Linked DNA regions of Sus scrofa. The protein of the gene in region 1 interacts with the protein of each later gene in a biochemical or structural test. Links are inferred from orthologs where the notes say so. Each region holds a gene or a part of one and is shown on either strand. Other genes may lie near its edges. The genes, in order: NRIP1 and RARA.

Region 1 (3,817 bases):
AAAATGAGTTTCGGAGTTCCCGTCATGGCTCAGTGGTTAACGAACCCGACGAGGAACCATGAGGTTTTGGGTTCGATCCCTGGCCTTGCTCAGTGGGTTGAGGATCCAGCATTGCCGTGAGCTGTGGTGTAGGTTGCAGATGAAGCTCGTAGCCCGAGTTGCTGTGGCTCTGGTGTAGGCCGGCACCTACAGCTCTGATTAGACCCCTAGCCTCAGAACCTCCATATGCTACAGGAGCAGCCCTAGAAAAGGCAAAAAGACAAAAAAAAAAAAAAAAAAAAAAAAGAGTTTCTATGAAAAGCTCTTTCTTGCCTCATATAATTGGTTTTGTTTATAGAATATTCTTTTCAAAGAGGTTAATGAGAAATAACCATTTGAACTTTGAATTTCTCTTCAAATCTCTTCTAAATTTGTTTCTTGCCAACTTTTCTACAGGATGATATGATGACTTAGTATGTGTGTGTGTGTATATATATATATATATGTATAGTTATAGGTTTTTTTAAGATTTTACTTCTATTATAGTTGATTTATAATGTTCTGTCAGTTTCTGCTATTATAGTTTTATGTGCTCTATACTAACCACATTTTCTAAACCAAAAATTAATGCAGTACCCAAAAACATTTTTTAAATAATGACTTTTATTTTTAAATCCTTTAAATTTTTTTCAAATCACATAATATTTTAATTTATCTGTAATTATTGATAACAAGGTCATACTCAAAGAAATAGCATGGGCAGGGGGAGGAGTATTTTATATTAGGAACATTCTAGAAACTTAGGATGGTAGGCTTATCTGTAACCTGTATTCTGCATCTGCTAGGAGTGCACCTTATTTTACAAGTTCTACATGGAGCACAGATGTAAGAATTTTAAGACAGACGCATTCAAACTTTGCTCGACCTAAATGGGTTTTGTTTTTAATAAGTCTCGGTAAGAACTATGGGTGAATAAGCCTGTGATTTTATGTAAATGTGTATTAACTAAGACTATCACAGTTTGCATGCCCCTTCAGAAGAATCTTACACTTGTTAGGGCTTCCAATTCTTTGAAAACAGAAATTCTCCAAATTCTTTTGGGGATGGCTGATGTTTAGAGGATGATGTCAGAAGCGTTGTGTCGGCCTCAACCTCACATCCAACTCATTAGATGAGTCCATGTCACATGGATCTCTTCTCCTTTTTCCTCTTGTTCCTTCATAAGCTCTGAGTAATGTAAGGAAGCTAGAACTAGCCCCTTGTACAGCTGCAGTGCTATAGGGAGACGACTTAGCATCACATCACTTTGCAGAAAGATGTTTATGAAAATTCAAAAACTTAATGGGCTTTGGAAGACAGTTGTATAACATTAAAGTATTTTCTCTGATTGGATCCTTTTCACGATATGAAATTAATTAATCCATAAGATTTCCAGTAGAGATTTCCAATTTAATAGGAATGGCAATAAAATAAATTACTGAAGAAGCATCTATAATGCATAAATATGTACATTGCATGTGGGTATATATACGCATATCAGCTTACAAGCGCTAGATTGTTTTGCTTTCACATATCAGAGTACAATTCTAATTCTTCACCTCCTTAACTATTTTTTTCTTTAATTTTTCTAGAACACTGATATTTGCATTTATTGGGGAACAAAAGATGAAGAAGAAGCAGTGTATTCACTAAGGATTCTGCTGCTGCTTCTTACTTGGGAGTTGATCAGCTCTATGGTCGGACTGCACTGGGGTCGGCCTGCCATTTATCTCGCCACTGCCAGCAGGAATCCTGGTCGGAATGTAACAGTACACCTCTGTCTAATTACTATGGAAGGTGATAAACTGACACTCACTTATTAACATTACATCTCATTCACCCAAAAAAAAAACCATTCTTCAAAGTGAATAGAAACCAAGCCCTTGTGAACACTTCTATTGAACATGACTCATGGAGAAGAGCTTGGCTCTGATGTGCACCAGGATTCTATTGTTTTAACTTACCTAGAAGGATTACTAATGCATCAGGCAGCAGAGGGATCAGGTACTGCCGTCGACAAAAAGTCTGCTGGGCGTAATGAAGAAGATCAGAACTTTAACATTTCCGGTAATGCATTTCCCACCTGTCAAAGTAATGGTCCAGTTCTCAATACACACACATATCAGGGATCTGGCATGCTGCATCTCAAAAAAGCCAGGCTATTGCAGTCTTCTGAGGACTGGAATGCAGCGAAGCGGAAGAGGCTGTCTGATTCCATCGTCAATTTAAACGTAAAGAAGGAGGCTTTGCTGGCTGGCATGGTTGACAATGTGCCTAAAGGCAAACAGGATAGCACATTACTGGCCTCTTTGCTTCAGTCATTCAGCTCTAGGCTGCAGACTGTTGCTCTGTCACAACAAATTAGGCAGAGCCTCAAGGAGCAAGGGTATGCCCTCAGTCATGATTCTTTAAAAGTGGAGAAAGATTTAAGGTGCTACGGTGTTGCGTCAAGTCACTTAAAAACATTGTTGAAGAAAAGTAAAGCTAAAGATCAAAAGCCTGATACAAATCTCCCTGACGTAACTAAAAACCTCATCAGAGAGAGGTTCGTAGAGTCACCTCATCATGTTGGACAAAGTGGAACAAAGGTCCTGAGTGAACCTTTGTCATGCGCTGCAAGATTACAAGCTGTTGCAAGCATGGTGGAAAAAAGGGCTAGTCCTGCCACTTCACCCAAACCCAGTGTTGCTTGTAGCCAATTAGCATTACTCCTTTCAAGCGAAGCCCATTTACAGCAGTATTCTCGAGAACATGCTTTAAAAACACAAAATGCAAATCAGGCAGCGAGTGAAAGACTTGCTGCTATGGCCAGATTACAGGAAAATGGCCAGAAGGATGTGGGCAGTTTCCAGGTCTCCAAAGGAGTGTCAGGCCATCTTAATGGCCAGGCAAGAACATCATCAAACAAATTAATGGCTAGCAAAAGTACAACATTTCAAAGTCCAATGGGTCTCGTTCCTTCTTCCCCCAAAAATGCAGGCTATAAGAATTCACTGGAAAGAAACAATATCAAACAAGCTGCTAATAATAGTTTGCTTTTACATCTTCTTAAAAGCCAGACCATACCTAAGCCAATGAACGGACACAGTCACAGTGAGAGAGGAAGCATTTTTGAGGAGAGCAGTACACCTACAACTATTGATGACTACTCAGATAACAATCCCAGTTTTACAGATGATAGCAGTGGTGATGAAAGCTCTTATTCCAACTGTGTGCCCATAGACTTGTCTTGCAAGCACCGAACCGAAAAGCCAGAACCTGACCAGCCTGTTTCTCTAGATAACTTAACTCAGTCCTTACTAAACACTTGGGATCCCAAAGTCCCCGAAGTAGATAACAAAGAAGATCAAGATACCTCAAAGAATTCTAGGCTAAATTCACACCAGAAAGTGACCCTTCTTCAGCTGCTCCTCGGCCATAAGAATGAAGAAAATGTAGAAAGAAACAACAGCCCTCAGGAAGTCCACAGTGATGTGACAAAGTTCAGCACACAGAACTATGCTCGGACCTCTGTCATTGAAAGCCCGGGTACCAACAGGACGACGCCAGTGAGCACTCCACCCCTACTTGCATCGGCCAAAGCCGAGTCTCCCATCAACCTTTCCCAGCATTCTTTGGTCATTAGATGGAATTCCCCACCGTATGCCTGTGGCCCTCCGTCTGAAAAGCCAACAAATGCCACCTCCAACCGCTTGATGGACCTTACAAAGAGCAAAGACTTGCAAGGAGAGAAACCAGTCCAAAACGAAGGTGCACAAAACTCTGCCACGTTCAGTGCCAGCAAGCTGTTAAAAAATTT
Region 2 (3,817 bases), on another chromosome or scaffold:
CAGTCCTTATTTTGGGTCTCCGTGGCTCTGTTTCCCCTTTTCTTTTTTTTTTTTTTTTTTTTTTTTTTTTTTTTTTTTTGTCTTTTGTCTTTTTGTCTTTTGTTGTTGTTGCTATTTCTTGGGCCGCTCCCGCGGCATATGGAGGTTCCCAGGCTAGGGGTTGAATCGGAGCTGTAGCCACCGGCCTACGCCAGAGCCACAGCAACGCGGGATCCGAGCCGCGTCTGCAACCTACACCACAGCTCACGGCAACGCCGGATCATTAACCCACTGAGCAAGGGCAGGGACCGAACCCGCAACCTCATGGTTCCTAGTCGGATTCGTTAACCACTGCGCCACGACGGGAACTCCCTGTTTCCCCTTTTCTTTTCTTTTCTTTTCTTTTCTTTTCTTTTCTTTTCTTGTCTCTTCTTTCCTTCTTCTCTTTTCTTCTTTTTAACAGCTTTATGGAAGATATAATTCCCATACCATAAAATATAAAATTCGCCCATTAAAGTGTACCATTTGGGAGTTCCCGTTGTGGCACAGTGGAAACGAATCCGACTAGGAACCATGAGGTTGACGGTTCGATCCCTGGCCTCCCTCAGTGGGTTAAGGATCAGGCGTTGCCCTGAGCTCTGGTGCAGGCCGACAACTGTGGCCCTGATTAGACCCCTAGCCTGAGAACCTCCATATGCTGCTAGTGCCGTCCTAAAAAGCAAAAACAAAAACAAAAACAAAAACAAAAACAAAAACAAAACAGTAAAAGAAAGAAAGAAAAGCGTACAATTCGGAGTTCCTGTTGTGGCTCAGTGGTTTAACAAACCCGACTAGTATCCATGAGGATGGAGGTTTGATCCCTGGCCTTGCTCAGTGGGTTAAGACTCTGGTGTTGCTATGAGCTGTGGTGTGGGTCGAGGACACAGCTCGGATCCTGTGTTGCCGTGGCTGTGGTGTAGGCTGGCGGCTACAGCTCCCATTGGACCCCTAGCCTGGGAACCTCCATATGCTGTGGGTGCGGCCCTAAAAAGACAAAGAAAAAGTGTACAATTCACTGGTTTAGAGTTGTGCAACAGTTACCACAATCACTTTTAGAAAATTTTCATCACTCCAGAAAGAGCCCCCATACTCATCAGCAGCCACTTCCCATTTCCTTTAGATCCACGCCCCAGACCTGGTAACCACAATCTGCTTTCTGCCTTTAGAGATGTGCCTGTTTGGGACATTTCACATAAATGGAATTGTACAATATGTGGTCTTTTACAACGAGCATAATCTTTTCAAGCTTTACGCGTATTGTCATGTATTTCAGCACCTCGTTCCTTTTGATGGCAGAATAATATTCCATTGCATGGATGACCAACATTTTATTTACCCATTCATCTGTTGATGGACATTTGGGTTGCTTCTACTGTGGGGCTGTTAGGAGTGTTGGTATGAGCATCCGCATCCGGGTGCCAGTTTTTGTGTGGATTTATGTTTTAATTTCTCCTGGGTCAAAACCTAGGAGTGGAATTGCTGGATCATACAACCCTGTGTTTAACCTTTAAAGGAACTGCCGCACTGTTCTGCAAAGCAGCGGCACCGGTTTCCATTCCCACCAGCAACGTATGAGGGTTTTGCTGTCTCCATGTGCTCACACACCTGTTATTATCAGTCTTTTTTTTTTTTTTTTTTTTTTTGGTTTTTAGGGCCACACCTGTGGCATATGGAGGTTCCCAGGCTAGGGGTTTAATCGGAGCTACAGCTGCCGGCCTACACCACAGCCATAGCCCTGCCAGATCCGAGCCACATCTGCAACCTACACCACAGCTCTCGGCAACGCTGGATCCTTAATTCACTGAGCAAGGCCAGGGATTGAACCTGCAACCTCATGGTTCCCGGTCAGATTCATTTCCGCTGTGCCACAACAGGAACTCCTCTGTTATCATCAGTCTTTTTGATGATAGCCGTCTGAGTAGATGTGAAGTGATATCTCGTGGTTTTGATTGGCCAGGTTTCTTTTGCCTTTCCTGTGTGTCGTGTGTGTGTGTGTGTGTGTGTGTGTGTGTGTACATATAAACACATGCCTTTGACTTACATTGTTTATGTATATCCTCCTACACCCCAGGTGGATTTGAAGCATCGTCTTGTGGATGCTTCTCTTTCTCCACCTCTTTCTTTGCTTTGTTGCCGCCTGTCTCACTGTGTCATGGAATTTCGGGGTTCTTCTCTGTCTCTTGCTACCCAGGGTTCTATCTGTGCGTGTCTTCTGGTCCCAGCTGTTCAAACAGGGTGTGGATCTGCCTGCACACCAGTTGAGGGGGGTGCTTTTGGCCTCTCATCTTCTGCCCACCTCCCTCCCTCTGGGGACGTTGCTTCTGCAGACCGAGTGTGGGGATGGACTCTGAGACCAGTCTCCTTTGCTCCTTCATTGCTTGGGAGGAGGGGGCTTCCACCCTGGGCAGTCCCTGCCCTCCTGGCACGCTGCCCACCCCCGGCCCATCATGCTCTTAAGCACTGGAGGTGATGCCCAGGGGCCCTCAGTTCCCGTTTCCCTGTTTGTATGTAAGCACGCAGGCCTCCTCCCTGCGCCTGTGGGACAAACCCATCTGGGGTGCTCGGGCTTGGATTTGGGGGGGAAGTGGTGTAAGAGGGGCCCCCTGGTTTAGGAGTCATTTTTCTGAGAAGTGCCAATGCTTTAGGGAAGCGGCTTTTCCTCCCCCTCCCCCCTCCCATCCAGCGCACGTCTCTGCATCTTGACCTCAGGTAACCTGCTTTGAGGGAAGGAGGGCCAGCTGCCTTCCTCAGCTGCAGGAATCCTCGGGGGTGGCATGGCACGGTGGCCCCTTTCCTCTCAGGATCGTGGGTGAGAGGCCCTCCTGGGCTCTGGGCTCTGTCCCCTGTCGTCTCCCCAGCCTGGCTGTGCGGTCCTGCCACCCCCAGCAGTGTCTGGGCCCTGCTCCCAGGCTGTCTCTGCCAGCCAGGCATGGTGCCAGCTGTCTGCTCAGCCGGGTGCCACGGGAAAATCTCCGGCCGCCCAGGTTGGGGAGCTCCGCGGGGAATGCCTGCTCCTTGGTGCCCACTCACCTGCCTTTCTTCTCTCTGCAGCATCGCAGGACATGGCCCCTCCAGCCGCCTTGCCAGGGCCCGTCTAGGAGAGGCATCCTTTTCAGCATCCTTCCAACCGGCTCTGGACCTTCCCGGGAAAGTGCCAGCTCATACAACCGCTTGACCAGAGGACCAGCTCTTAGGACGTTCCCCAGCCCACCTGGCCCCCAGCCCGAGTGGGGGCTCCGGGAGGCTGCAGTTAGCCTGCGAGCCTTGGACCGAGCAGCTCCAGGACAAGAAGGGGGGGTGGGCTGACCACCCAAACCCCCTCTGGGCCCCGGCCCCATGCCCCGAGGAGAGGCGGCCTGAAGCCCGCCAGAGCCTCCTGCCAGACTGTCTGCCTGCTCTTGTGACTGTGGCTGCTTGGCATGGCCAGCAACAGCAGCTCCTGCCCAACACCCGGGGGAGGGCACCTCAATGGGTACCCGGTGCCCCCCTACGCCTTCTTCTTCCCCCCCATGCTGGGGGGGCTCTCCCCGCCGGGCGCTCTGACCACTCTCCAGCACCCGCTTCCAGTTAGCGGCTACAGCACACCGTCCCCAGCCAGTAAGTGGGGTGGCGGGCACGGCGGGAGGGGGGCCGTGGAGGGTAGTGGGCCTGAGGCTGGGCCTCTGGGCGCATCTGTTCCGCCGTGGTGAGATCTCCAGACAAGGGGGACAGTCGTTGGGGAGGCAGCATCGAGGATGAAAGGCTTGGGGCCCGTCACGGTGCTTGTGTTTGGCGTTGGGGGTGGCAGAGGGAGAGATGA

Evidence for each region.
Region 2: the proteins of NRIP1 (region 1) and RARA form a complex in vitro, tested with the Homo sapiens proteins (4 studies listed by BioGRID). The link is inferred for Sus scrofa from reciprocal best matches to the Homo sapiens genes NRIP1 and RARA.

The regions. Positions count from the first base shown.
Region 1 is NC_010455.5:179,828,983-179,832,799, reverse strand, and holds part of NRIP1 (nuclear receptor-interacting protein 1), read left to right. Parts: intron 1-1,610; 5' UTR 1,611-1,922; coding exon 1,923-3,817. UniProt on the Homo sapiens protein: Modulates transcriptional activation by steroid receptors such as NR3C1, NR3C2 and ESR1. Also modulates transcriptional repression by nuclear hormone receptors.
Region 2 is NC_010454.4:22,072,232-22,076,048, reverse strand, and holds part of RARA (retinoic acid receptor alpha), read left to right. Parts: intron 1-2,736; exon of another isoform or gene 2,737-2,827; intron 2,828-3,069; 5' UTR 3,070-3,437; coding exon 3,438-3,615; intron 3,616-3,817. UniProt on the Homo sapiens protein: Receptor for retinoic acid. Retinoic acid receptors bind as heterodimers to their target response elements in response to their ligands, all-trans or 9-cis retinoic acid, and regulate gene expression in various biological processes.